Oreochromis niloticus: one gene and its partners. The protein of the gene in region 1 interacts with the protein of each later gene in a pairwise test. Links are inferred from orthologs where the notes say so. Each region holds a gene or a part of one and is shown on either strand. Other genes may lie near its edges.

The links.
Region 2: the proteins of thap1 (region 1) and chlsn interact in binary tests that used the Homo sapiens proteins (3 or more experiments, as listed by UniProt). The two-hybrid records come from large-scale screens. The link is inferred for Oreochromis niloticus from reciprocal best matches to the Homo sapiens genes THAP1 and CHLSN.
Region 3: the proteins of thap1 (region 1) and acot7 interact in binary tests that used the Homo sapiens proteins (3 or more experiments, as listed by UniProt). The two-hybrid records come from large-scale screens. The link is inferred for Oreochromis niloticus from reciprocal best matches to the Homo sapiens genes THAP1 and ACOT7.
Region 4: the proteins of thap1 (region 1) and akap17a interact in binary tests that used the Homo sapiens proteins (3 or more experiments, as listed by UniProt). The two-hybrid records come from large-scale screens. The link is inferred for Oreochromis niloticus from reciprocal best matches to the Homo sapiens genes THAP1 and AKAP17A.

The regions. Positions count from the first base shown.
Region 1 is NC_031972.2:34,363,528-34,370,843, forward strand, and holds thap1 (THAP domain-containing protein 1), read left to right. Parts: upstream 1-4,295; 5' UTR 4,296-4,469; coding exon 4,470-4,540; intron 4,541-5,284; coding exon 5,285-5,477; coding exon of another isoform or gene 5,478-5,491; intron 5,492-5,678; coding exon 5,679-6,097; intron 6,098-6,185; coding exon 6,186-6,207; 3' UTR 6,208-7,131; downstream 7,132-7,316. UniProt on the Homo sapiens protein: DNA-binding transcription regulator that regulates endothelial cell proliferation and G1/S cell-cycle progression.
Region 2 is NC_031973.2:19,321,874-19,329,717, forward strand, and holds the start of chlsn (protein cholesin), read left to right. Parts: upstream 1-4,833; 5' UTR 4,834-4,957; intron 4,958-5,147; 5' UTR 5,148-5,161; coding exon 5,162-5,284; intron 5,285-5,364; coding exon 5,365-5,475; intron 5,476-5,482; exon of another isoform or gene 5,483-5,845; coding exon of another isoform or gene 5,846-6,979; exon of another isoform or gene 6,980-7,149; intron 7,150-7,844. Other genes in the region: lg8h8orf33 (UPF0488 protein C8orf33 homolog), read right to left, coding at 1-36; h3f3d (H3 histone, family 3D), read left to right, coding at 1,380-1,507, 1,658-1,811, 1,901-2,029; uqcc4 (ubiquinol-cytochrome c reductase complex assembly factor 4), read right to left, coding at 2,930-3,254, 4,239-4,324. UniProt on the Homo sapiens protein: Hormone secreted from the intestine in response to cholesterol, where it acts to inhibit cholesterol synthesis in the liver and VLDL secretion,leading to a reduction in circulating cholesterol levels. Acts through binding to its receptor, GPR146.
Region 3 is NC_031984.2:24,092,035-24,099,080, reverse strand, and holds the start of acot7 (cytosolic acyl coenzyme A thioester hydrolase), read left to right. Parts: upstream 1-4,044; 5' UTR 4,045-4,114; coding exon 4,115-4,278; intron 4,279-5,140; coding exon 5,141-5,258; intron 5,259-6,978; coding exon 6,979-7,046. UniProt on the Homo sapiens protein: Catalyzes the hydrolysis of acyl-CoAs into free fatty acids and coenzyme A (CoASH), regulating their respective intracellular levels.
Region 4 is NC_031987.2:12,401,169-12,408,920, forward strand, and holds the start of akap17a (A-kinase anchor protein 17A), read left to right. Parts: upstream 1-4,741; 5' UTR 4,742-4,907; intron 4,908-5,672; 5' UTR 5,673-5,693; coding exon 5,694-6,020; intron 6,021-6,160; coding exon 6,161-6,199; intron 6,200-6,318; coding exon 6,319-6,537; intron 6,538-6,724; coding exon 6,725-6,937; intron 6,938-7,752. UniProt on the Homo sapiens protein: Splice factor regulating alternative splice site selection for certain mRNA precursors. Mediates regulation of pre-mRNA splicing in a PKA-dependent manner.

The DNA of each region.
Region 1 (7,316 bases):
TGTAACAAGCAACAAAAAGAAGAAAAGAGGAGGTGGACAGCGTCTCTGACCCCAATGTGAGGTACTTTTTTGCTTCAGATTGAAAATATAAACATTTGCTGATCTGCTGAGCGCTCAGTTTTATTTACATGCTGCAGATGTTTCAATGTTAATCCGCCAACAGCTGGAGGCTCCAAGCACTGCTGCCCTGTATGACATCACAAGCAAAACCATATAATGGTTAAGATGGATTCAACCAGGTGGCCTGCACTATCAGAGTGACTTACGATCAGAGCAACATCTTTATTATAATTTATTAGCTTTTTTTGGTTCGTTGTTGTAACACTAACAGGTTTTGTCTGGGAGTGGTAGCCACAGCCTTCCTGCAGCTGTCCATCTGAAACTCACAGCCCACCAGTGAAAGGAGCAAGTGTTGAATTGTCTGTGGAAAAGTTTATTTTGTTTGTATTCGGGCCATTGAAAGAAAAAAAATGAAAGGCCCTAGTTGTGTGATGTAAAATTCAGGAAAAAAAAGTTTTAAACTTAAAGTTGTAAATTTTGAACTTCATGAAAAAATATGACAAATTTACAATAAAAACATCATTAACACATAATACGTGTTTTTAGAAAACAGCACTTATTTTCAATCAGATAACAAATTATGAGCTTATTTTCATTAGAACGAGTCCTGCAGTAAAACACAGGCCACTACATGCAGCTGGCTGTGAGGTGTGTGCAACGCGTGATTTAAAAAAAACAACAAAAAAAACAACGTACATATTCAATATTAACTTTGCTCGCATGAAATTAGCTTTCTTATAAGATGTGATTTTTTTTTTTTTTTTTTTTTTTTCTCTCTTAACTAAAAAAAAATCAGCTTTTTTCTGGCCCACGTTTGGCCCTCTGGTTGCTCAGTTCTGGCATTTGGCAATCACCACATATGGCCCAGAGGTCATCAACACAGCTGGCAGCTGGCACATGTATGGTGGACCTGGGCAGCCACTGAGTCACAGGCAGATGTGGGCCACACATCTGGGTTATATTTTGCATATTTGAACCGGCAGATGTTTTGCTACTTTAGCCTTAAAAAATACAAAAATGTGCTCATTTCCTGTTGTTTTAGTCACAGCTCTGCCTGCAAGTCCAACAAAAAGCCAGTAAGCAGTTCTTGAGTTCAGCTTGATGAAATTTGTGGCAGCAGATCAGCTGGTGAAGCTAAAACCAGAGCGAAAGCTTTCCTGGATGTGGAGCACAGAAGCTGCTTTCCTTCCTGCAAAAGGGAAGAGCCGCTTAGTGGGCGGGGCTTCCACATCACATCACTGAGTGTAATCGTTGCATTCTGACTGCGTGTGATCTTTCAGAAGCCGACTGCATCTCCCAGAAGACACTGCTGTGAGTCTTTAGTGAATTCTTGATGGCAGTGTTGTGAATATGCTAAAAACTCTGATTTCACGACCCCGGAGGATTCTGGGTATTGGAGTATTTAGAGACATTCAGTAACCGACAGCACTCTGACTTTCTGTTGCACTTTCCTTCTTTTTCTTTCACTCTTTTTTGCTGAGGTTGAGTTTCATTGTTTGACGATCTTTTCTAAGTGTGAAGGCCTCGCAGACCGATTGATTTTTTTTTTCTTGTACAGCAGCTTTTTAATCTGTTGCTTTATTTTTGAAAAAATATTTACATATTTTGATAGTTTTGTCCGTCTGTTCTCTCCAGCCGTCTCTATGTTTCTGTTATTACACCGTCAGCTAAATACCTTTGAATGTTGAATGACACAAGATTTTCGAAAGATTTTCCTGCAAGTTCACTTTGCTGACATAATAATACGTTGTTGCTATCCTTATACTTACTTCCTGGTACACTTGCAGTATAGTGGTTGTCCATAATAAATCACAGAGAAAACCAAATTATTTGTCAGTAACTGCATTAAAAATGCCTGTATCAGTTGTGCAGGTCATGGTAGTCTTGAGTGCTTAAAAATAAAGTAGTTGACAGTACTTGTCTTAGACAGGTGCCACCTTTTGGCCTCAGTGACGGTAATGACACACGCCATTTCTCATAATTTGAACTGGAAAAGCCTCCTGGATGAAAAATGAAAAGTCTAAAGAAACCTAAAGAAGTCCCCGTTGCCCTTTTTTTAACCACTCAAGTCTGCATTAAAAAAGCTCCAATTAGCCAAGGTGATGGTTGCGCAGTTGTTATGAAGGTTGAAAAAACTTGACAGAGTGAAACGGTTTTCTTGTATCAGGCTGCAAAACATGTTTATTTCTGCTGTAAAATTGGACATTTAACATGAGAGTCTGGGGGAGACTGACTTGCTTTTGGATCCTCAAGTGGACATTAGAGGAACTGCAGTTTTGGTATTTAAGCACTGGCTTCCTGGAGTTACCAGGGGTCATCACTTGGTGTGTCATCATGAATGTTTAAGTTGGCACTCTGTTTTTGTTAGATTACCAGTGTTTAAAAGGCCCAAATATATGAGCTCATTGTGGTTTAAGAAGTCAATGAGGTTGTTCTTATGCTACTTTCTGGTACATCTGGAATTCTTTGATAAATCTCACATACATCCTCTGATGCAGAAATCAATTGGGCTTATCATCATGTTTGTGTGCAAAACTGCCAATTATCAGTTTGGCAGAACTTACTGCATTTAAATCAGAAGTATTATGCGATATTCAGTGGCAGCTGTTTAAAACCAAACAAATGACCAAGACTGGTTGTGATGACATGTTGCCCGTACCTCGCGGTGGTCACTTGTTGGTGTTTATTTACTATTTTAAGACTGCTACACTCAACTTTATGGTAGCTTTTTGCCATACAATTCAACACTAAGTAATTAGTAAAATGTGCTTAGTCATAGTCATCAAACAGGCTTTTGGCGTCACCTTATGATGGTAGGGGTGCATTAAAAAAGTTGTGTAAAATACTTTTTTCCCCTTTCTTTTCTTACAATTTCTCTTAGAGCTGACAGTTGAAAAGTCGTGACCTTTAATTTTTAGTTTCCTTGTTTAAAGAAGGCTTGTTTGGGCTTTTTGACAGATAGCACATGGTCCTTGTCCAGGATTTTAACCCGTCATCCAACAGCTACTGGATCACTCCGGTGACCTGTTGATATGATTGTGCATTGTTTAAAGAAACGTGATGACTGTGGCAGTGAATTTCATACAACTGACAGGAAGTATGGACAGAACTATCAAAATAAGAGTCTAACTGTGTAAAATAAAGTAAAATTTGTGTGATTTTTGCCCATGTTTGATCTGAGATTGTGGACATTTCTCCATCAGTAAATTTTGTTTGCAAAAATCAAATGATCCCACCTGGTTCCTTTTTTTTGGTGGGGGTTTCCTGTACATAGAAATGTGGGTGAATTATCCCAAAACTATTTTGTATTTTTCTATTTATTTCTTCCTTTGTAAAGTCTTCTAATAGGCCACAGGCATGTGCTAAAACAAAAATGGACAAATGATGAGAAATTTCTCTTTCCATCCTTCTTCTTAAATCCTCGCTTCTCCTGTTTGTAAAGGTGCATTCACGTGCAGTCGTAATAATAGGAAAAAACACATCATGTTTCTGAACCTCAGCAGCCTCTGTCAAAGTTGGTGAGAAACTCTGAATGTTTTTAAGTTGAGTTTCCAGCTGCTAAAGTTGAACCCACAGACTGTTTGAGAGCCTTGTGACTCTTTTTTTCTTTCAAGATAAGGACACAGTATGATATACAGTGTAGTGATAATACACACACATTATAGGTACTTATCAGTGCTGTGTATTTACCTGTTTTCTGTGTATTCCTGGTCTTTTGTTGCTGTATAAAGCTCTTTAGACCAACCCACGGTGTTGAAAACACCTGTTTTAATAATAAAGTTTCTTCTTTTTTGACTAAGAGATTATGTGTTGAAAGTCTTTATTTATCTAACACATTATGCATGAATCTACAGGGCTGAGCTATGAAATAAAACATTACGTCTTATGGTAATTTCTGGAATAATAAATGAAAGAGGACAAATGCATTATCCTGTATTTGTGAAATTCTTTTGTTACAGCAGTTAAAATAATAATGAAAAATTATAATACAAAATTGATATTTAATTTGGTAAAATGTATTTAAATTGTGCTTTTCTAATGTTTTATAGTCCTTCACATTTACTCTATACTCAACAGAAAATAATTGAGATTAGCACTTTGTGTCAGCTTTTATTTCAAAATGTGTTAGTTAAATAAAATAGACTTGATTTGATTGAAATTTTACATTTGGTATTTAAATTAAGGCTCGTAAAAAAAAAAATAACAGACTGGACTTCCTGAGATATTACAAGAAAGTAACGACAGAAAGCTCCACCAATTAGAGGCGGGGATGCCGGTCAGGTGACTAATTCTTCGCCGCCATCATTGTTAGTGGCAGTGAAGCTTGTGTGGAGGGTGACAAGAAGCACAAGCGGAGCTTCGTGGAGTTCTGGTCCGGCTGTGAGTGAGTGTTGTCCGGATATTCAGCCATGGTTCAGACGTGCTCAGCGTACGGCTGTAAGAACCGCTACCACAAAGACAAAGACATTTCATTCCACAAGTAAGTTAAGTGCCAGTGTGTCTGTGTGTGTGTCAGCGAGCTGGGTAGCATTAGCAGTCCTGACATGGTGGTTGAGCAACGTCCACCAGCCTGCGTTCACTAATCTGCCTCATTAAAGATTAACTGCTCTTCCTCAACAGTACGAAACATGTGGAGTAGGACACGGGACATTTTACGTGTTTCCAGGTTTCACTGCTAAAATCCGGCTACATAAAAGTAAACAGATGCTATTTTTATTTGATTAAATCAAATGTTTTGATCAAGTCTAAAGTCACAAGTTTCTCTATAGTGGCTATACCGAGGCACACAAATTTAGATATTACTAAAACTTTACAGCTGTTTCGCTTTTTAACAAGCCGAATCTATCAGCACGGAACACATTTACTTATAAAGTCTTGGAGTTACATTCTTAAATATGTTTGCCTTTCCGTAAATAAGGGGACAGTAAATTCCTCCAAATTTAACTGGAGTTTGGATTAATGTGTTTATGCTTACTGGCGGGAGTTGATGCGCATTTCTTTAGTCCCCAACTTTAGTCTCAAAACAAGTAACACAAAGGGTTAACGCTCCAGGTTTTTTTGTTTTGTTTGTTTTAGTTTTATTTTTTACCAAAGACATAAAGTTTACTTCATAAGCAACTTAAACTAATTAATTACATTAAAACTGATAACAGAAAATAATTCCCAAATCATACAGAACCGTTATGACATTTACTTCTGTGTATTATTATCACTTGTTTACCAGGTTTCCTCTGGCGCGTCCAGATATCTGCTGTAAATGGGTGGCTGCGATGAGGAGAAACAACTTCAAGCCAACAAAGTACAGCAACATCTGCTCCCAGCACTTCACCGAAGACTCCTTCAAGAGGGAGTGCAACAACCGTGTGCTGAAGGAGAGCGCTGTGCCGTCGCTGTTCACCTTCAACCTCAGCATCAAGGTGACCTGACTAAGGCAGGGCTTTTTTTTTCCAGGAGTCTCCCAAGAGTTTCCAGTCACGTTTTCTTTATTTCAAAATAAGAGCACAGATCTGAGAGACAGCTCAAATTAAGCAGATAGGTTAACTAAGCTAGATAAGTAGATCAGGTTAACTTCAGCTTCAGTCAGTTAGCGACTAGTTAACTCGTGTTTTTCTCTCTAGCAGTCAGAGTCCCTGGAGGATCCCTTCCCCTCTGAGAACCTCTTCCCGCTTTCTCTGCCTCTGACCTCTGAACCAGCGGAGGAGGAGGAGCCTGAGAGTAACCCGCTCGACACCTGCAGCGACACGATGACAACGACCACAACGACGACGGCGGTCTCCTGCGACCACAACTACACGGTAGAGGACTCTGCGCAGCAGAAGAGGCGCATTGAGCTGCTGGAGGAGCAGGTGGAACATCTGAGGAAGAAGCTGAAGACGACGCAGCAGAAGTGTCGGCGGCAGGAGAGGCAGCTCAAGAGGCTGAAGGCCGCCCGGGAGGCATCACCCAGGATGCCCCGTCAGTCGGCGCCGGAGCCGGGCTTCAGTGAGGGATACGTGATTTTGCCGAAACACATCTACCACAGTTTGAAAGGCATCGAGTGAGGCGGAGTGGAGAAGTTTCATCTGCTGCTGAGCTGAAGGACGCAAATATTCACATATCTTTCTATTTTTCGTTTTGTTTTCTAGAGCTCGGGCTGCACTTAAATGACTTCTTAAAGCTTTCGGTTTGGTTTCAAGAGCCAACAGCTCTTCATACTTGACGCACACAGACTGATGGTTCTTGTCACTGTGAGGAAAACAAAGCACAGTTATGCCCCCTCTCCCAAAAAAATAAAAAAAGAAAACTGTTGAACTATTCCTTTAAAGAGAACTGTTCTTCCTGCTTTTTATGTTCTGTCACATATACGAGGTGTTACCACATAAGCTGAGGTGTGATCGTCATCTCTGGATTTTCTTGACTGATTTCGTTGTGCCCTGCCGGAGCAAACAACAGCTTCTGTTTTACACTGAGCTGAATTTCTCTAGGAGGATCATCCCAGTGAGGAGAGCTGGGTCTGCAGCCACAACTGAGCAGTTTTCATCTGAAGAGCCCACGGTGTCGAAGCTCAAAGGTGAGAGCCGAGGCCGTTATGAACCATGATGTTCGGAGGCATCTGAGGTAGATCGTTAGAAGAATCGATCTGAGCCTTTAGGCTTTGAGTTTTGCAAATTAAAGAGAAAAAAAGCTGGTAAACCTGAGAAGAAATAACAAATTTATAAGAGTAAGAAATGGTAAATTTATGAGAAAAAATTGACAAATTCATCAGGAAAATAAACACTTTTTTTCTACTCTTTGATTTGTATGGTGTCATAGATGATATCCTGCTATGGTCATGTTGGGCACAGAAGCCAATACCCAGCTAATCAGAAAGAAAGACTGCTCAAACTCAGAGAGGCTAAAACGCCTCGTTTCAGACAGGATGAACTGAAAACCCGGTATCAAAAAAAGAGAGATTATTTTGAACTGTGACTCATGCAAAGCTGCTCTGAGAGTTTATGAATTAAAAACACGATGCTGGAAATGTGCAGGATAGATCCCCATTAAACAGTCTGCTGTTTAATATGGAAATAAAATTTGACAGTATGAAATGAACTCACTTAAGCTTCTCTGTTTTGTTTTCAGAGTTTTGTTTTTTACTTAAAGGCTGATTAAAGTACATTTGCTGCAAAAGCTTTACATTTTTCAGTGTTTTCTTGAGATGCAAAAACACTGCTTGTTACTGTTGATTTGCAATAAACTGAAGCCATACGAGCAGCTTCTTTGGCTCTTTGTGCTTC
Region 2 (7,844 bases), on another chromosome or scaffold:
GGAAATGTGTCCTAGGTCTGTTGGACAATGCTTCATCCATCGAGTTTCTGTCAGCTCCAGAATTATGTATCACACTAAAGCTTCCCATTTATATATGAAGAGGTTTATGTATGGAGCGTGTATGTCGATTTGTGAGGTGCACATATGCTTTTTCAGAATGTCTTCTGTGTACTTCATTTGCCTTTTCACATAGTACAGGCTACAGCATAAGTATGGCAGCATTGTTCCCGCTTGTCTTAATTAGTTAAAAGAGGGGGGCGGTCAGTGACCACCATGTTTTCAGAAAGGAATTCCCAGGTTCTAAGATTACACAGACAAAATTATATGTATAACTGTGTGGAATAAGAGAGAAAAGCTGCGGGTGAATAATTAAAATCAAAATAACGACATGCTTCTTTTTAAAATAAGGTACATCTGACGATCCGCTCTAACTTCACACGCAGAGGCAGAGAGCCTCCTTTTTCCTGAACTAATCATATTCCGTTAGGGATTTCAGTTTGGACCAATTGGATACGTTCAGGGGCGGGCTTCGAGCGCTGCTCCGCTTAATCTATAAATACCACCTCCTCAGCCCTCAGGGCAACATAGCGAAGTGACTAACAAGGAGGAGTCATTGAATTTCCCCGAACAACGAAAGTGATCCAAGGTATGGCTGTTATGTTTGTTTATGGGTTTTATTTAAAATCGTCAGTATGTGAATTGGATATATTATCTTTTTGAGTTTTGGTGTTAATGAGAAGCTTTGAAAAACTGACAACAAAACGGCGCGCTCTGTAGCTAAGAGCTAGCTGATGGCTTAAATTGAGCCGATTTGACTGCTCTTAGGGTATGACTACATAATTATAAACTAATGTTAATGTTCACTTATACGACTGAGTGCCGTGTTGTTTTTGGTGATATTAATTGGTTAATTTTAGTGTAAATCTTCGCGGTAACTAGCTGGCGCCATTTTGCAACCGTCCATGCTAGCTTTAAAAATGCTCGACAGACAAGCAAAGAAACGTGTGTGTCTCCTGTAGCTTAATGGTGGCGGTGCTTAGAGGTTTGTGTATGATATTTGAATAAAACCATAAAAGTGGTAACTGTTGTAACTTGTCGTCCTTGATAATGGTATCACCGATGAATGAGGGGTTGGCGCCCTTTATGGTAGTGTTTTCTTTTTACTGTAAACAGAAGTAAAAGGTAGGACGGTTGTTTCGCCACCTATTTTTTTTTAAAACGACGTGAGTCATGTGTCATAGGTAGAGCCGCATAAAGGGAATAGGCTCTCGTTCAGTGGGTGGTTAACGTAAATTACGAGTTTTTGTGAAGTTTTTTTTTTAAAATTCAGTTTGTTTTAACGTCCACTTTTATTTATTTTTCAGACTTATAAGTGAGAAATGGCTCGTACAAAGCAGACCGCTCGTAAATCCACAGGAGGAAAGGCGCCTAGGAAGCAGCTGGCCACCAAAGCAGCCAGGAAAAGCGCGCCCTCTACTGGTGGAGTGAAGAAACCCCACAGATACAGGTACAACAATCATGCCCCTGTATTGTTTGTATAGGCATAACTGGTTACACTGGCTGTGGAAACTAACTTTACTCTTGTTTTCTGAAACTGTGTAGTTGTTACAGTGTTTTTGTTTCTGGGCACTAATTCAGAATATGGCTTGCTTCATAGGCCCGGTACTGTTGCTCTGCGTGAGATCCGTCGGTACCAGAAGTCCACTGAGCTGCTCATCAGGAAGCTGCCTTTCCAGCGTCTGGTCAGGGAAATCGCTCAAGACTTCAAGACGGATCTGCGTTTCCAGAGCGCAGCCATTGGTGCTCTCCAGGTCAGAAAATGCATCTGTTTTAAAATATGAATAACATGTTCTTGTTAATTTGTTCTAGTATGTAATGTTTTCTTTTCTCTTCCCTATAGGAAGCCAGCGAGGCCTACTTGGTCGGCCTGTTTGAGGACACCAACCTGTGCGCCATTCACGCAAAGAGGGTCACCATCATGCCCAAGGACATTCAGCTGGCCAGGCGAATTAGAGGAGAGCGAGCATAAATGCTTCTGGATTTTTATCTTTTTATTGGGTTGGGGGTGGGTGGGGGACTGACTGGGGTTTGTTTTGTAAATCTTGAACTATTTACCAGCATGTGTGCCACCTTATGTCATTTGTAGTTTCAGGCATGATTTTGTACTTCATTTCACACACTCTTCCTTCAGCTGTCCTGTTCACTGTAGAGTAGTGCTTCATATCTGTAAATTCTAAAGCAGAATATCTCACTTCCTTCCTCAGGTCTGCAAATGTATTTTAGGGTCTGTATCTTTTTAATCCTGTGTGTGCATGTCATAGGATTTCTCATTGTGCTGTAAATAAACTTTCCGCTACCTCACCCTGACTTGAGTTTGCTGCAGACAACCTTGGGTACAAATACAAAGTCGGGAGACCCATTGGATCAATGCAAGGGCTTCTTTGCACTATAACTTTGTTCTAACAAGTTGGATGTTCATCAAGTGATCATGTGCACTTTGAAACAGTGATTCAGAACAGACTGGCAGATGCTTGTTGGTCAAGTTTATTGACATTGTAATCCATTACTGCCAAAAACTGCTTAAAAAAAAGGAGCATGTCCCAATTAACGTTAGCTCTTAAACTCATGATGTACAGCATGATGTAATAACCTACATCAAGCATCACAAGTAAAACCCCAAAGTGAACAGTATTTTGAAACTGGATACAGTCTGCAGAGAAATGTGAAATAGAAAAGCCTGCAACAGCTGTAGAGTAGACCAGACCAGGTTTGAACTAACCTGTAGTTATTGGAATATTTGTGACATTCATGTATCAATGGACGGCCTTATTTCCACACAGAGCATTAACTTTGTGTTCCAGGTCAACACAGTACAATTCACAATAAATACAACCTGATACGACATGTCCACATATTCCGATAAGCACCTTTATTTTTTAGCTGTATCCTCTTCATTTGAAAGCACGCTGGGTACATGCTCGTACAGCTGCTTCTCCAGAGCTGCATCAATGTCTGTCTCATCCCTGAAAGCGCACCACAACAGGAAGGCGGTGGCAAGCAGGCTGATGGGCACAACTTTCCACAGAGGACGCTCGTACTGGCTCCCCATCGAGCGGTCAACTCTCCAGGTCCTGTGGCTGGCTTTGCTGGTTGAGAACTTAATGGGCTCGCTCTTCACCTCCTCATCATCAGCAGATTGTTTGGACTTGCCCGACAGCTGAGAGCTCAGCGCTAGAGACCGCACACTGTGGAGTCTTCCAGCACGAAAAACAGGAGAAGATAAATTAGTTTAGGCTGAAAGACTTAGTGGTTTGAAAGTACACTTAGTGCACTTAAATGCTACTTCATCTTAGATAGTATACTACAATATTTACTTGGATATTAATACTTGTGGACTTTCGCTTAAGAGTAGAAGTGAAATATATTTATGAAACATTTATGAAACTTTTTTAAAACTGTTGTTTTGTTTTTAAGAAGCATCCACAGCTGGAGATTATAGTCCTTAATGGCCACTAAAAACATTAATGCAATCATCATTTTCACTTATACACTGGATTTATGATCCATTTCCAGTGGTCAAAAAACCATAGACGCACATAATATGCAATAGATGTTTTATAGAAACTGATGTTCAAGATCAACCATACAGATGATCATAAGTTCCAGTGGTAGATAGCTCCTTACATAAAAAAATAAAGCACTAGAAAATAAAATTTCTGAATTATTCCAAAGCAAAAAATGAGTTTATGTATAAAACACTTTACCTTTGAATTAGCCTTTAAATAACTGTGTGTCCATCTGTAAATTGTTGCTCAAAACACAGTGATGATGCCACCTAGAGACAATTCCTGAAGCTGCTCTATTGAAAATGATAAATCTAACCTCTGACACAACGGCAACACACGGACGGTGACTGTACTTTACTCACTGTCATACGTCCTCATAAAAAGAAAACTCCTGATATCCATCCAAAGCCTAGTAACTAGATTAAAGTCAAAGGACCAAGGTGTGTCTTCTAGGAAAAAATAAGAAAAGAAAAAAACCCTGTAATGTTTCATTTTCTATAACTGTAAATGTGGTAACATCTAACCAACGCCGCTGGGTCAGCTTTCTTTTTTTTCTTAATAAACCACTTAAGAATCTGACCAACAATTAAAGATACTACACTGTCATTGAACAACCCTTACACATTGAATACATGCTTTCCATGAGCCGGGGACACACATACACACACTCACCTCACGGTAGCTGCACCGCTATGAATAAATGTTCCTCGACTCAAAGCCACTCGTGTCAGACGGGCAAAGACTGCTGCTGTAGACATGATGGACAACCGGTCATCTTACTCAACACTACGAAACTGAAGCTTTGCCGAGCAAAACCTTTTCAGTCAGGTCATGTAACACACCATTGTGCAACCCTTAATTCTCTCCGGCCAGAACCAGCGAGAGACGCTGGTTATGACCGGCTGTCTCTAACCCACAGAATAATTTATTATTCTGTTATTATTATTAGTAGTAGTATGACTATACCTAAAGATAATGGCATATTTACGCTTGAAAGTAAAAGTACTTTGATTTTACACCGTACCACCAGTCTGCATTTTATTTTTATTTTTTTTAAGTATTTTTGAGGTACAGCGTATTGCCTTATTTATAATATTTTTTTTCCTTTTTTATTGGTTAATTAATTTGTTTGTTTTATTATGGCTTTTGTTTATGTATTTATTTATAATTTATTAATTTTAAATAGTCTTCGGGTTCCCACTTCATTTAATATTTTGAGTTTTCTTTCAGTAGTTTGTTCTTCGAGTTTTTAAAAGTGTTACACCCACCGACCAATCACAAAACACGGGTAGCTAATCGTCCAATCAGGCTTCACTTGAGCGGCACCGCTTCCTGGTTGACTTTCCACGCGCATGTGTGCTTTCCAGAGTCTGGCACGCAACGCAACTCAGGTTGGTTTAAGGTTTTTTGTAAAAACAACGTGGTCAAAGTAGTGTTTAACCCTTAATACTGCTGCTTGTTGTTATGTCATAAAATTGATAATTTGTTTCTTTTGACCTTAAGCCTTGTCTGTCCGTGTACTTCATTCAGTAAACGTGTGTGCTGGTCTTCAGTTATATACATGCTCGTGTTGGTTTGCAGGAGTAATTTATCTCATGGCTAAGGACAAATCGTTGAAATCAAAACCTTATAAGAGGAAGAATCTGGGTCCATCAGATGACAGTACAGAAATAATGGACACTGAAGTAAATACGAAGAGGAAAAAGATGGATGCAGATGTGAGTAGCACAGAAAATGGTATTTTACAGCACTACCTGAAATCAGTCACAGTATCATTAACACTTTGCCTTTAAACCAGGAGGCTCCTGCTCAGATGTCTCAGTTAACAAACACAACAGATGATAAAAAACGGAAAAAGAACAAGAAGAGTAAAAAGGAACAAGTGAACCAAGCCGCAGAGCAAGCAGAGGTGAGAATGTTCACTGCCGAAAATGTGACTTAAAGATTTTATTTGGCTCTTTGTAGGTAGTCAGCTAGTTTACAGTGTTTTACTGTGAAAAAAATCTTTTTTTGTGACATAATCATGGTAAAGCATAGAGCAGCGTGGCAAACATGTAATAACACAGCTAATGAATTGACAGTTAATAAATTAAAATTTTTTGGCACAGTGACATGCTGTCATTCAGTCCAGAGAGACTTTTATGCTAGCATCATTCATTTAAATAACACTGATGTGTCTCAATTTTACATAAAAAACAGTCAGATCTGTACAGAAGTTAGGATCCTTGCTTTGATATTTAGCACTGAATAGCGCCTTTACCCCACAGCATGTGTGTTTTTCATGTGTGATTGGTGAGAACATGTATATACAGTTTATTCAAGGTGGGTGCATCAGTTGGCAAGGGGATGTCACAGTTTGAATGTGATGAGTTGCTCGTACTGTCATCCTTTGCTGCTGGTTCGTTTATGGGCTTTCTCGAGGGGGTCCTGTTCAGCTTGGACCATCGGCTTTTATCCTGGAGAAAAAGCCTCAGCTTTTTCCTAAAGGCCTCCCCGAGAAAGCCGTAGATGAGAGGATTCAGGCAGCTGTTGGAGAAAGCCGCCAGCCTGACGGCGTGGCCCGTCAAGGGGTAATCCTGCCACAGCGTGCCCCCGTTCGTGTCGCCCCTCACGAGGTGCACACTTGTAAACATGTTCTCTGGCAACCAGCAGAGGAAGAAGACGACCACAGCAGCTGAGATGAGTCGCAGGGCTTTCTGCCTGCGAGGCCTCTGCAGGGGGCTGTTTAGCTCCCAGTGGCTGCACTTGAGCACCCGTGCTATCCTCCAGTAGCACACACCCAGGATGCAGAAGGGCAGCAAGAATCCCAGCATCACCTCCAGCCACTGAATCTGAGTCACGTTGGCGAAGCAGAAATGGAGCTCTCCGGCGTGTTGCACTTGAGCTACAGCGAAAGGCAGCAAGGTGAGCAGGGACGAAGACGTCCAGATGAGGCAGCAGCTGAGGCGTGCGCGTGGTATGCTGCGACCGATGGAGTTGGTCAGTGCGACGAAGCGGTCGAGGCTCATCCAGGTCAGAAAGAAGACGCTGCTGTACATGTTGGCCTGTTGGAAGAGGTTCATGAAAGTACAGAGGCCAGCCTTGTCGTAGTAGCCCTTCTTAAGATTGAACACTTCAATCAGAGAGTCAGCTACCAGAAAGAGGTCGGCCATGGCCAAATTCACAAAGTAGCGATCTGGAGGTGTCATGCGGCCCCTATGGTTAAGGTTGACCACTATAATAAGGATATTCCCAACGAGACCGACAGGAAACAGGAATATGGTGTAGAGGCTGGAGAGGATGAGGCTGATAAAATAATAATTATCTGAAGCTGCCTCCAGACAATCTGAGACGACTGCCTGTGTGTCATTTGGATGTGCACTGAAGTTATTGTCAGCAGTGACTTTGTAGTCCACATGCATGGTCATGTTCATGTTCCCCTTTTGTCTTTAGCTGTTGTTAGCAGTATCCAAACACTAGGTTGCCATAGTTCCTAGATTTTTGAAGACTAAGTAGTTGCTGAGGAGCCTGCGGTACCATCAGTTCCCTGTTTGTGTGAGCGGTAGCTTTTGGATAGAGCGAGGTGCTGATGCCACTGTTTCCCCTAGACAGAAAGAAGAAGTGAAATGAAGTCTGTTTTCACTTTCTTAAAACATCAATTAATTTCAATTCACATCTATACAGTTGCATTTATATAGCACAAAATCAAAGAACAGTCAGCTCAAGGGGCTTTAGATTGTAAGGTAAAGACTCTACAATATTAGAGAGCAAACCCCAACAATCAGACGACCTGTGTGAGCAAGCACTTGGCAACAGGGAGAAGGAAAAACTTCCTTTTAACAGGAAGAAGCCTCATGACTAAAGGAGGGGCAGCCATCTGCCACAACCGGTTGGGGACTGGGTGCCAAAAAGTAGACATCCAGGAGGTAATAATTCTGTACACAACATCAATAAATATTGATGTTGTGTACAGTTGTTGTGTATTGCTCGCTGTGGCGGGCAGGTCGTGCTGTCTAGCTGGCAGCCTTCTTTAGCAGCTGCCTGAATCATCATTATAATATGACAAATTACAAAACAATGTTATAGTTCACGGTGTTTTACTTCAGCTCTAGTTATTGCGCAAAAGTTGGGAGCTTCACAGAATTTTCTTGCCTTTGACAAATGACAAAGAATGATTAATTAAGCCGTTAATCACTGATTAGTTTTTACTGGAAACAGAAGCAGAGGCAGAGGTACTGCAGTGACACATTACGTTGCCTCATGTAGGATGAACAAAGCTAACTTGTCATGTTAGCAGAG
Region 3 (7,046 bases), on another chromosome or scaffold:
GTGTGGTCTCTGCTGCCCTCCTCTGGCTGATTATAGGTATTGAAATAGCTGAGGTTTCTGTTTCTCAAACATGCCTTTCTCATTTACCTATTTAGGAAGCTATGGAATGCAAAGGATCTTCTCTAGCTCATTATATCGATAATATAATAGTTTATTATTTTAGGGCAATTTGAAAGAACAGATTTTGCAAAACATTTAGCAGGTAATTTCTATGAGCTCTGCACATTTCCTCTCATCGAGCCATTTCGCAAAGACACTGTGACCACAGCAGCCGGCGGACGCCGGGAGAGTGATTTCCCTTCACATCACACACGAATCTCACTGCAACACGAGACCGACAGCCTCCGAGAGCTCATCAGCATCAGAACCATGTCGGCACCGCAGACGGGCGAGGCAGCATCCCCACTTCAGATATGCAGGTAGGACGTTTAATAAGACACATTTACACGAGTGCTACCTTCACACACATGCTAATAACGTGCTGCTGGTCGCCAAATGACGAGAACAACGCGGCTACCGGCGTAGTTGCGTGAGAGCTGCTGACAGGACGATAACCCAGATAATCTGCTTCTGCTTCTTTTTATATTTTTGCGCAGACGCCATCGCCCGAGTTCAGCCGCTGGTTCAAGATGTTTGTCGTGTGCTGTTGTATAAAACACGAGACGCCGTTTTTTTCAGGATGTTTAGTGTGCGAGCTTCGTCAGAGGTGCGGACCATCTCTGCCGCGTTTCGCAAGTGATGACCTCAGCGCGGTTAGCTCCGTCAGGACAGGCGAAACACGGCCAAGGACGAAGGCCACTACAGTCGGAACCATTTAACCCAAACTCCAAGAAAAGAAAATACTTTATCGCGTGAAAGTTTATCGCGTGACTCAATTTGTCTGGACATTAGTTTAATCAGTCCGCACTTTGCCCCTTTATTTATTTCCTCAGATGATGAACAGATGTAGAGCCCAGAAAGCAAACAGCCATCTGTGATAATAAGGGCACGACTGCGAGCTATTAAAATACCTTTCAACGGCGCGTAATTTTCCAGAGAATATGTGGTAGTACTTGCGCTCGCCCGTAGATGGAGCCAAACTTCTCTTGCACACCCCTGTTCTGTTAGAAATATATGCCTACATTTAAAGAAAAGAAAAAAAAGGAAAATAAAACATTCTCTCAAGTAAAAACAGAAGAACAGACGACAAAAACACCAATAACGCACAATCAAAAAAAGATTTAAATTATTCTAAAACAGCAACATATTATACTTATATAAGTCACTATGACAATTATAGGGCCATGTTCATTTTTCTTTTTACGTTTATCTAAGTTTTATAATCTCTTTTCTCATTTTTCACTGCTCAGTGTTCAGTTTCTGAGAAGTTTACCAAGGTCTTCGGAAGAGTCCCGGAAGCCAGCCAGTATTAGTAATAGTGAGTCATAACTTCAAAAGTTTCTGTAAACATTGGGTCTGATCCACCCCCCCCCCCGTGGAGGATATCAAGTATTTCTGGCTTTGCATGAGTGATGTGTTGAAACCTTTAGGTGACTGAAACGTGACTGGCCATGTAGGAGTAAGTTTCCACTTACTGGGATGTTGCAGTAAGAAGCTAGTAGTTCTATTGGATATGAACTTCTTTTCTGTAAACATAAAAAATGTAATGTTTACAGTGATAATAATACAGTGATCATCAAAGATTATGGGAATATCTTTAATGATCACAGAAAACAAAGGCGGCAGTCACAGGTTGGGCCAGTGAACATATTTATTTAAGCTTATGCTATAAACTCACACTATCTACTTCAATTATGCTACCACAAGCCCAAAACAGATTTAGCCTTGCTAAACTAACATGAAAACCATGCAATTTCTAAAAGCAAAGAGCAAAGAAAAGAATCCCACCAACCACAGGTCGTCACAGACTGACTGGATGATTCACTGTATAAAAGGTGCACTCACTTATCGAATACATCATCTTCATCATGCTTCAGTGCACCAGCTTCTAGATAAATCACATAATTCAGTATGAGTGCATATTTTCAACATATAAGTGCTGAAAGTGTTTCAGTCCTTTACAAAAGCACAAAAACAAACTATTCAATCACCAGAACGTCACCTTTTGGGCCGTGTGTGTGGAAAAGTCACTGAGAGCCCAGCTTAAACCCAAAATCCTCGTGGTATACTCATTCTGCTCTCTTCTCTCCTTCCTCTTGTTGCTGCACTGGCAAACACCTCTATGTGCTCAAAAACAAATTCTTACAGAGTTGATGTCAACAGGTTCGTGAACATTGTGCACAAATGACAGGGAGCAAGGCCAGGAAGTGCAAGTTTATTATGTGAACGTCCCAGCATGGCCCTCTGCCATAAAAGCTTTTCAGAAAAGGTGCCTATTTTAATCAATGGAGTGTAAAATGACTGAATAAATATTTCCAGAGCTAAAGTTCAATTCATAAGGAAAATGTGTACTGCATAAAATTTTTTTAATAACATGTCCACTTTGCCACTTTACCACAACACTATGACTGTAAACACCCAGTATAGTCCAGAGGACGGCTCTTTTTGTTAGTCATTTAGGTTCCTGAGGAGTTACCCTGACTGATCCATTGGATATTCTGTCTTTGCACAATGATCTTTACCGTCATTGAACAGTTAAAAGTGGGTGTGTGTGCATTTACAGGAAGTTAGTCATCTTGTTCTTCTTTAAGTCAGCTTTACTGACTTTTTATCAAAGATGCGCTCCTTGTGATTTCTTCGCTGCAATAAGAAGCTAAACAGGATCCATCCAAGCGCCCTCATGATTAGTTTTAGAGTGCATTTGGAAGCAATATGCTCTTTATATTGTTGACTTGCATTTGGCCGCATATCCAATATGTTTTGACTATTGGTCTGTTTTCATTTTGGCACTATTAAGAACTTCACATTGCTTTTCTGCAAAACACTAGGAAGGTATATTTTTTCCAACTGTTTGCTCAGAGTTTAGCTTGTTCCTCTCTAGAAGCTTCTTACAGCAGCTTTGTGAAAAGCTAAAAAATATAAACAATTTATTTTGGGACTACGGAATAGGAGAACACCGAGTGGTAAGACAACATCCTTTGACAATATGGCCCTTACTGTTTATACATACAGCGATATGTATGTGTGGATGGAGGTGTGAGTGTGTTTGGCAAATGCCTGTCTTACGTGGTAATGTAAGTATGCTTGCAGTTAAACACTTGGATGCAAAATCACTTTCACACATGTGCTGTGATCTTGTTCTGTGGACGGCTGGGAGAGAAATGACACTGAGACTCCAGTTTGTGAAGCTAATTCGGCATTTCAGCTATCATTGTTCTCGATGCAGGTAAAATGAAATAAATAAATAAGAGTTTGTTTCAACAGGCAGAAGATTTTGTCTTAGGCACCCATTAACAGCAATATTTTGCATTTTCATTTAGTTGTCATCTATATATTGTTTGTATGGTTAGTCCAGTGGTGCTGCTTCTAACCAGAAACAACGTCAGTTTTAATGTTTACTCACCTGTGTATATAATCTGTGTATTATAGATATGTTGGTTGATTTACATGAGTAAACAAGTGATTAATCAACTACATCCTGATTTGGAGGTGCGTAAGTGTGATTTGAAAGGTTCGTGGACTCGCCTTTCTTTATTTTACTTTTTTAAGCCTGCTATTCTGTTGAACATATTAAACTGTATTAGTTGGTACTGGGGTGGTTGTAATCTTGGCCAGGTATCTTCAGTTTGTTTCCTAAATTTCTAAATTTAGTCTTTACTATAGAAAAGTGGAGAAACATTCTCATGAATTAAGCATCTGAGACAAGTTTCATCCATCTGGTGCTTCACATGTGTCTCAGGACATCTTGGCAGATTTGTCACTGTCAAACTCTGTCAGCTGCATGACTCAAACCTCAGTGTGATGATGACATATTTTATTAGATAACTCCTGTCTGTCTTTGTATCAACTGCTGAGATCCAGTTTGACCAGTTAATGTGGTGTGAGCGGTAATACTCCATGACATCACTCAGACCATCAACGTCAGATCTCAAAATCTCCAAAGCTGGGATCTTAGAGCTCATACACAGGGGAAGTAGGTGAGAGAGGAAGACTGAGAGCCAGACCGTGTTTAGCGATGGATTGCTCTAGGGCTCAGCAGAGTCAGGCTTCAGATGAAGTCGATAAGACGACTGCAGTGGTGGAGAAACAGCAACATAGTCAAAGTAAGCAAGTAAGCAAAGATGTCAGGGAGGGTGAGAAGACTGGAGCTTGGAAGTGTCCCAAAAATCAGCTTAGCAGGTACTTGGTTGCTTATGCGTACACACACACACACACACACACACACACACACACACAAACACACAGTCTGTTTCAGTCATTTTGTATTGGTTCTTAGTCATTTCCTACATATGGTGAGGAGTTTTGTGAAATCTAGTAAATAGAAAACTGAGAATTTTTGAGTTTTATGGGAAGTTATTATCTCGCTTTTTGTTCTACACACACACACACACACACACACACACACACACACACACACACACACACACAAAATCAAACCCTTAACCATGTGTGTCACAGAATTAGTCAGTGCAGTGGTGCACTGCATTATTGTGGTTTGACATTTGTACATTTTGGATTAACAGTGCGTAAAGTGATTACACCAGGTATAACTGGTACGACTCGTTTATCCGTACACTGAAGAAGTGGAGCCACGTCATGCACTGTCAGCGATAATGATACTGTCTTGAAGTAGTGATGCAGTGTGGAGACATGGAGAGCTGCATTATCAGCTTGTTATGTGCAAACATGCAGCACATGAGTGACTTTCTGGCATTTAAAAAAAAAGTTTCTCATTTTTGTCTTTGCGTTTTTTTGGACAAAGTTTCAGAAAACTAGTGGTTAATAGGTACTTAACCTTAAGGTGACTTAAACTGAAAAACAAGAAGGAAAACATACTGTGTGGACTGCTTGATAACACTATTCAGGAAGCTTATAATACAGTTGGTGGTATGTAATAAAAAGATAATGACACATTTGAATGTGTCATCAGACCTACAGTCATGGGTCATATAAAGAGCCTTGAGGCGCCTGTTGTTGGGATTGGGCGCTGTGTAAATACAATTGAATTGAATCATAGTAATGCATTCATTTATTATTGCAGGATTATGCGACCAGATGATGCCAACATTGTGGGCAACGTCCACGGTGGCAACATCCTCAGGATGATAGAGGAAGCTGGATGCATTGTCAGCACGCGGCACTGCAACACACAGAACGGGGTAAGAGACAACAGCCACTGTCATTCTGGACTGTGTTATTGTACTGTTGGATAACTGAACTCAAGGAAGTTCTCAATAAGTTCCGCTAATGTTCATTTTTAGTGGCAGAGAGGTGTCAATATATAATATACATTACTTTTTTTTTTTTTTTTTTTTTTTTTTTTTATAATTTTTTATTTTTCAATAGACATTTAGAAACAGACCTTCATAACATATACATCACATGGGGATACTTCTTGCATCTGTTGTCTGCCCTTATTGCCGAAATAATATTTTAGTTCATATCCTGTTTATAAGAAGAAAAAAGAAAAAGAAAAAAAAACAAAACAAGCAAACAAACAAACAAACAAAAAAAAAACTTACAACCATAACAATAATTGAAAGAAACAGACAGAGAAAAAAAAATAAAAAATAAAAAAAAAAAAAGAAGAGGAAAAAAAATAAAAATAAATATGTACTGATAGGGAGTGATCTTACTCTTACATACTCTCATACTTCATAACTACTGGTTTGTGAAAGTAAAATCTGGCCTATGAGGCGTGACATATTTGACCCATTTTTCCCAATATAATGTAAATTTATCCAATTTATGATTAACAAAAGCTGTTATCTTTTCCATTTTATAAATGTCCATTGTGATGTCCATCCATAGATTTATAGTTGGGCTCTCCGATGATAGCCATTTTCTGGTAATACCCTTTTTACAGGCCACCAGCAAAATATTTACTAAATGTTTATCGCTTTTCGGCCATTCCTGAGGTACGTGTCCAAAAAACATAGTCTTACTCTCAAGGGGTATTTCACATTGGAAAATGTACTGTAGAGCGTTGTGTATTTCTCTCCAATAGTCCCTCAGAACAGAGCAATCCCAAAATAATATACATTACTGCAGTACTGTTTCTTTTTTAGCACCTGAATTAAGAGACTAAAATATGTTGTGAATAACAATGTTGAAATTTTCTGTACTATAAGTGTAAATTGACAGAAACTAATGCAAGAAACTAAGAAATGATAACCATTACTTTTAGAACTCAAGTTTTAAAATGTGAAAAAATGTGAAAAAGTCATTAAAAACACAATAAAGAAAATAAAAAAATGTCAAAAGGGAGTTATTTCTGTCTAACTTGCAGTTATACCAGCATTAAAAACATATTCATTCATCAAATTAGTGAAGTTTCCATCCATCCATCCATCCATCCATCCATTTATTTTCTTTATTTTCTTCCACTTATTCATTGTGCTGGGGTAGGACATAGCCTGCCATTCACGGGGCTGACATAAAGAGACAGACAACCATTCACATTCACACCTAAAACCAGTTTAAAATCTCTAATTAATCTAAACCCTGTGCATGTCTTTCTGGGAGGAAGCCAGAGCACCCAGAGTGAATCCATGCAGACACTGGGGAGAACACACAATCCCAGCCTGGATTTGAATCTAGGACCTTCTTGCTGCAAGGCAACAGTGCCTCACAGACAGTGACATCTGTAGTTGTACACATCATTAACCTCATTTGGACTATACAACCGTGCTCAGTGGTATTATTTTTATCTCTCAGTGTACAGTCATGTAACTGGGGGAATCAACTCAGCGACTCAGGATTTAAAACCAGAATTTCCCTCTGATCTTCCAGCAGAGCAATTTCCAGATTCCTGCCATTGCAGTCAAATGTTGTGATTTTGTGTGTATACGTTTTGAGTCTGCTGTTTGTCTTGTATAGGACCGCTGCTTGGCAGCTCTGGTTCGGGTGGAGAAGACAGAGTTCCTGTCCCCCGTGTTCATTGGCGA
Region 4 (7,752 bases), on another chromosome or scaffold:
TACATTTTTCTACTGCCGATAACGTACCTCAAATTTTCTGAAGCTAATTCACTTGTTTCTACATTGCTTTGTGTGTGGCGTGTATGCAAATGTTCAGACACTGATATTTAGATATTGCTCTCTGAATGTCAGTTGCGGAGTTTTACTGTGTTATCTGACATTTCATTTCTATATTTACTCTAAAAATGTGACACAGGATTCATTGGTTCATAAGGGTAAAGGTTCAGGCAACCACAGTCACAGATATCCGCCGGAAACAACTACATCATATGAAACTGAGACAAAGTCAATATTGTTCCCATATATTAGTCTGACCTTGCATGCACGCTGTCATCTATTCATCAAGCTCTGTTTTCTCTAAGGACTCTGGCCAGAATGTGCCGTAGGTTTAGCAGTGATTTCTCAAGTGGTTTCCCAAATATGTGAACCTTTCTTCCTCCCGAATTTCATGAATGTTCTGTTACTAATTTGTAGCATTTGTACTTTTATCACGGGGATTCGTGTCATTGTATGTCTTGACACTTTTGATGTAGAATTTTATGTCATTTTCTCAGCGGCATGAGTAGAGGAAATGGAAATGCAGCACACTGTTGATTCTTATGTCTGTATAAAGAAAATCTGTTTTCATTGTAAAATGCTGTGAAGTGATTGTGTGGTGTGAAATCACTGTTAACGAGCCACTTTTGTTTTTGGATTAATGTCTTTATCCATAAATGTGAAATAAAGAAGTTTTGTTTTTATTTACATAAACTAAAGTTTTTAAGTCTGTCGACTACACTGTATTGTCCCATTGATGCAAGAGAAAGATTGTATAAAGAAACGGCCTTGGTAATAATGAGAAGGTTTAAAATGTAAAGAGCAGCTGTGAATACTCATGTTAATGTCACCAGAATAGATTAAAAATACAATTGAAGCGAGTCGCTTCATCCGCTGTTCCTGCTGACACCAGCTGATTGTCCTTGCCTGTTGATGCTGAATAATTGATGATCTGACGACCCCAGCTTTGCTCTGGCATTTACAGTATATCCACAACTTCCTGCCCACATAGCCCACCAGACAGATTAACATCCAGTTCTTATTTTGCACCTCTTGTTATACAGACTGACCAAAAGTCAACATTGCTGCTGTTGGGATATAAACTCTATTTAATCCATTTTTGCAAATACTTTAAAATCAGATTTTATGTTGTTTATCTTAATATACTTAAAAGAACCTAAGAGGACAAGCAGTTTTGTGTTTCCCTGTTATGTTATTTTTGCCATTGGTTAGAGAAAGTAAACAGAGTATAGGGTACAGAGAAATTTAATGCCCACAAGCTTTCATATGTGTGTGGGGGTTACGATACATTTCTCAGTGCCTGAGCCTGAACAGATTACTACAGATCTGGCAATCCTCTTGTTGCTCTGATGTCCTTCTGGCACCCTGTCTGTTCTCTGCTTCGTGTTTCCCAGATCAAACCAACCATATAAAAGCTGGATTACATGTAAACAGTCACAATGTATCACACAATATGCTTCTTATATAAAACTGAATGCTGTCAAGTCAGCTCCTTTGATGATTCTGTAATCTCTGGGGTTTCCCTGATCTAGAAGTCAAATAAGGATTTATAGTGGTCAGAAGTGATGTGCTTTTTTTTTGGCTATGTAGAATCCAGATTTGCCTTAGGCAGGCTGTCTATTAAATAACTGCTGATCGGGACAGGATAGAGAGCCTTTTTGACTGCAGTAACTGACCTACATGCACAGTGAAGGGAGTAATGCCTATTATGCAAATTCCTCTGCCATCCTTTCAGGGAAACTGTGCCAACTTTTTAGCCTGGGGCCTCCACTGTTGGACCAATCCAAGTCCGGTCCATTTTTATCTCACACAGTTACCACAGTGATGATGGCTTTCAGACAAACCCTAATGAGTCACAAACAGTGCCAAATAGACATCAAGTGAGTAACAAATTTGTACTGTCATCAGAGTGTTGTTTGTCTTGTGGCAGATATAAAAAAGTACAGTGAATCCAGCCTGAACCCTTTTTTGATACTGATCAACATTTTTTTGCATAAACTATATCAGTGATTTACTAATAAATAATGAAATTGAGGGCGATTACAATTATTGCCAAAGTTTCTATCATGTATTAATTATGTGTGTTCTGAAATATATAGCAGGGTGTGTGTTCTTTCTCTTTTTAAATACTGCTAATATATATGTATCTATAAAACTTGGTTATTTACACCAAAAGTCTTAAGTAATTTGTAAGCCCGGTAAAAACCATAAGTGAAGACCTCACAGATGCATCTGACCCGTCTACTGTTCCCTGAAGCCTCATCAGAAAAGGTCTCAGTGGAAGGAAGCTGAGTACTCAAAGAGAAACCATGCATACTCTGTGAGAACTGCAAACTCCACACAGAAAGGCTCCAGACTGGATTCAAACCCTTCTTGCTGTGAGCCGACAGTGCTAATCATCAGACCGCCATGCACCCCATGAACATATAAGGAGGAGAGGTACTGATGGTAGATAAGTTTAAATACCTGGTGTCAGCCATCTAAAGCAACAGACAGTTCTGGGTATCTGTTGTGGGTGGTGTGACTATCAGGGGGATTTGTAATAAAAGGATCGAAGCAAGAATGAAAGGCAAGATTTAACAAGATGGCACTGAGACCTGTTATGATGCATAGTTTGGAGATGGTGACAAAAAGATAGGAGGCCAAGGCGAAAGTGCCAGAGCTGAAGAAGTTAAGATTTTTGTTGAGAAGATGGAGAGGATTAGAAATGAGCATGTCAGAGGGAGCGCTCAGGTTGAGCACAAAGTTAGAGAGGCAAGGCTGACTTAGACATGTGCAGAGGAGGGAGAGTGGACATATTGGACAAAAGATGTTGAACATGGAGCTCCCAGGCAGGAGGGCCTCATTAAGAAAAAAATATTGCTGATCATTTTGAGAATAAAGTCAAAAATTTTATTTTGAGAAAAAAGTTGAAATACTAGTTTGAGACAAAAGCCAAAGGGTGGAGATTATGGTTGCTGTTTGAAGACAAACTCCCAGGTTTGCTATACCTTCTACGAAAAGCCTTGAGTAGAAGTACCAATTCACTAACTCAGGGGGTGTAGGAACTATAGCTGTTTGTCTTGAAATTGTAATCTCCACATTTTGATTTTTTTCTCAAAATTCTATTTTACTTTGATCTCGAAATTTTGACTTTATTCTCAAAATGACCGACACCATATTTTTTTCTTAACATGGCCCTAATACTCCTTCATACAGGAAGAGAAGAGGAAGACCAGACAGAAGATTCTTGGATGTAATTAAAGGGTTGTTGTAGCAGAAGAACATGCTAGGCCAATTGACTTTGATATAATGAATGGTGTTTTGAAATTAAATAATCCTCACTCCGCTTGGTTTCTTATACCAAGTAAGGTCTTTAACAAACTGGGGTATCGATTTTCTCCTAAAATGTGACTTTGAAATTACTAAGCTACCTGTTAAACTCTCTGAATTCCATAAACAGCTCCTTCTTTATTGGAAAATTATATTTAAACATAATTTCACTCTACATAACTGCCAAATTTGGAACAATAGATATATACTGATGAATAGAAAATCTATTTTTATTCAAGATTGGTTATCGAAAGGTGTTTGGGCAATTGCTCATTTTGTAGATGAGGAAGGACAGGACATCACGATTTTGGCCAAAAATTTAATATCCAGTGTTCTAAAAGTAATTTTAATCGGGTTATAAAATCCATTCCATTGTCACTTAAAAACATAGTCGTAAGTGATATAATATATTCTGACATCTCCCTCAAGTTAAGGCAATTATATATAGATGGTATTCAGTTTTGTAATGTTAAATACAATAATAAGTTCCTGAGATCTTCATTAAAGAGTCTTTATTCTCCAAATTTACTTAGACGTAATTACATATTAAAAGATTTCCAAGAGGAAGAAATTGAAAGAATAAGAACTAATTATATCACCTTCCCTATCCCTCCTAAAGGGAAAGAAGTCCAATTCAAAATTTTAAATAAAATGTACCCAACAAATAGGTTCCTTGGTGATAGTTTTAAGATAGAAACTGTTAATTGTGTATTTTGTGAAACAGAAGAGTAGGATTTGGACCATCTATTTTTTTTTGTGCAGTTTTATACAAATCTTTTGGTTGGATTTTCATGCCTGGCTTCAATCGAGTGGGATTCAAATTACCCCATTTACCTTAAATGTGATATTGTTTGGAGTGTTTCTGAAGGAAAGTCAGTTATGGTGTTAATGTTTTATTAATCTTGTGCAAGCAATATATACATAAATGTCGACCAAACCAACCCTACTTCACTGGAAAAACGATCTAAACCTGTTGGTTAAATCTTTGACTTTAGTTAAAAAGAAAAAGGCTGCATCTTTTGGTTCCCTTTTGGAAGATTTTGATTTAGTGAGTTAATACTCTGTTAACTTTTATGACCCCGTCTTTATATCTTCTTTTTCTTTGTACAAAGGTTGAAATTTGTATTTTCTGATTGTATAATATATGGTGCATTTTGTTGTATGTTGATTTTGCTAATTAAAAAAAAAAGAAAAAAAAAGAACATGCTAGGAAATGTGTGCAATGGCGACAAATGATCCGCTGTCCCGGCGACCAGGCAGCCCAAGAAGAAAATTGCTATGAATATTGATATTAAACTGAATTCAACTTAAGAGATCTTTTTCCATTTTTCTCACCGCCATATTCATCCATGTGGTGTCGCTGTGGGCGCTGGTATAGGTTTCTTTAGAAGGTCGGAGTTCATTGCGTGCGGAAGTAGCATGTAGTTGGATTCTCGATTTTCTGTATGCCTCTCAAGTGTATGGCTCACCTTAAATTACAACAGTGTGTTTGTTGTGTTTTGCATTTTCGGTTTTTACGGGGGGGCTAAGTGATTTTGGTAGGTTGTGGCTAGTCTGTTATCTTCTGTGCTAGCTGACGTTAGCATGTTGTTGTCTAAAGCGGTGACGTTTTAGGACCCAACTCGTAAAAACCGTAACGTTAACAAATAATCAGTAAACAAATAATAATACGCAGTTTGCAGTTTAATAGCGTTAAATTAATCACGTTAACCAGATCGCTGTTTACTCAATTTCATAGCTTTCTAGCCTGTCGTCCTTCGGGATGAAGCGAAGACTTTAGCGTTAGCTTTCAGCTAATGTTACATTGAGTTTGCTAACGTTTGTGTAACCAGTGAACACCGTTCCCCAGAAATATGTAGCGTAGTCCTGACACCGTTCATTATTATTCCTACAAACTGTTGTCGTTGTGTCACCCTATATGCTCTCTGTTAACTGAACGTTAATGCACAGGAGCTGGTTAGCTGGGTAGCAGTATGAAGTTGTGATGGCGCAAGGGGCTTTATGCTTTAACATGGCATTTGTTGTGTAATTTTCGAGGACTTGTCACACTACTGTATAACAAGCCAAATGCGAAGGCTAATTATAATGGGTTTTATAATGTTGAGAATGGTTTTTAATCGTTTGGCATGAGGCCTGTGTTTGAGCCGATGTTTGCTGCAGTTTGATTATTGGTTTTGGAGGACTACTCGTAGCACATGCGCAGTTTAGTTTATTACTTTGAGTTTGCTCCTTATTCATGTTTTATCTGTGTTTTAAGAGAGTTTAATAACTACTAAATCTTTATTTTCTTCCCCCTGCTGCAGCTTCGGTGTCTCTCTGCAGCAATGACCACCATTGTACATGATACCACAGAGGCAGTGTGCCTCTCTGCTGAGTACAACCTGTACCTGAAGCCTATTGCCAAAATGACCATCAGCGTGGCTTTGCCCCAGCTCAAGCTGCCAGGCAAAAGCATCTCCAACTGGGAGGTAATGGAGCGGGTGAAGGCCATGGTGGCCCCGGAGCAGTTTTCAGTCTTGCGAATCTCCAAGAGCACAATGGATTTCATCCGCTTTGAAGGTGAAGTGGAAAACAAGACTGTAGTCAAGAGCCTGCTAAGTCGTTTGGATGGGAAGAGCATCAAACTCAGTGGCTTTACTGATGTACTGAAGGTAAGGGTGAACAAATTTAGAGCATTGCAGTACTTATAATTAGTAATTGCATGGTTATTGGAGTCACTGGAGTTTGTTGTTGCTACTTAAATGTACTTAAACTGTTTGTAACTCTTTGTCAATACATTGTAATTTGGCAGTTCAAAGAAATTACCTTGAAAATAAACAACTATCCAAAGGCAAGGCAGCTAGTTCTAAGTATTATATTATTATCTACCAAAGATTGATTACAGGTTGAATTAAATTGCACTAATAAACCGACAGCAGAGTATATTTATTTCACCCTCTCATCCTTTAGGTTCGTGCAGTAGAAAATAAAGTGGACTTCCCGACACGTCACGACTGGGATTCTTTTTTCCGTGATGCCAAGGACATGAATGAGACACTACCAGGTGAGAGGCCTGACACCATCCACCTAGAAGGGCTTCCTTGCCGCTGGTTCAGTCAGAAGGACAGCCAGTACCCAGATCGGCCCTCAGAAGAAGTCCTCATTGCAGTTTTCCAGACATTCGGCAAGGTGATTCACATTCATGTTTCTGTGTAGCTAAAAGGAAATTAAGCTTTTAATATTCACATTTTTAGTTCACAATTTAAAAAAAAAAAAAAAATAGACATAAGCAGTGCCTAACTAAACAAGAAACTAATAAATGTCGATATAAAAAGTTAAAACATTAGTATTTTTTTGTTTTTGTTTTTTTTTTAAGGTACGAAATGTTGACATTCCCATGCTGGACCCATATAGGGAGGAAATGATGGGCAAGAACTTCAGCACATTCAGCTTTGGGGGCCATCTGAACTTTGAAGGGTATGTCCAGTATCAGGAATACTGTGGCTTCACAAAAGCCATGGACACTCTGCGCAGCATGAAGCTGATGCTGAAAGGAGATGATGGAAAAGCCGTGGCTTGCAACATCAAGGTACTGCAGACTACAGTAGTGTCAAGCCTCTGCCTACACATATTAAAGCTGATTTTATTTTCTACCTCTTAATTGATTGACCAATCATTCCAGGACTTTTTTTTAATCCATCAACTAAAAATGTTGTTTTCTTAATTATGTTCAGTCACTGCTGGGAGAGAAATTTCTTCGTACAAACTTTAAATGCCAGGGTTTTGAGAAAAATGGAGTTTAACTCATTATTAAGGTGTTCTAATGCAGTGCCCTTTCAAATATGGTTGTATTAAGCAGGACAAGTATAGAGAACCATGCAGCCTTGAGAGGTTTGTTTGATAAACATGCTGATAAATTAATGATTCTATGCAATATAAACAACCTCCTTTTCCCATCAGGCTACCAGTGAGTGTAGCTTTTTTTTTCTTCTTAAGTGAAAATATTAAATGCACTGTGACAATAGCTTAAAACTTGTAGAGCAGAAAAGATGTTGTATTTGTAGCTGTGTCACTGGAATATTTGTCCATTATTCATTTATTTAAAATCTGTGTTGACACAGTAATCTGCCATGGATGTAATATTTTTAGTTTTCAAATGAAGAGCTGGAAGGACTATTCCTGACTAAGCATGGTTATAAAATGTTGTAATCATAGTAAACCACTCTGAAATGTGTGAAGCACTCGAATAAGCCCTTAAACTCACCAACGGGTTTATCAGTCTGGTATTCTTGGATTATATTTTGTTTTGCTTTATCCACTATCCCCCCCAAAGTTGGTCTAAATTACTGAATTAATAAAAATTTACATACTTTTGTTTTGGGTTTTTTTGTGTGTATAAATTTA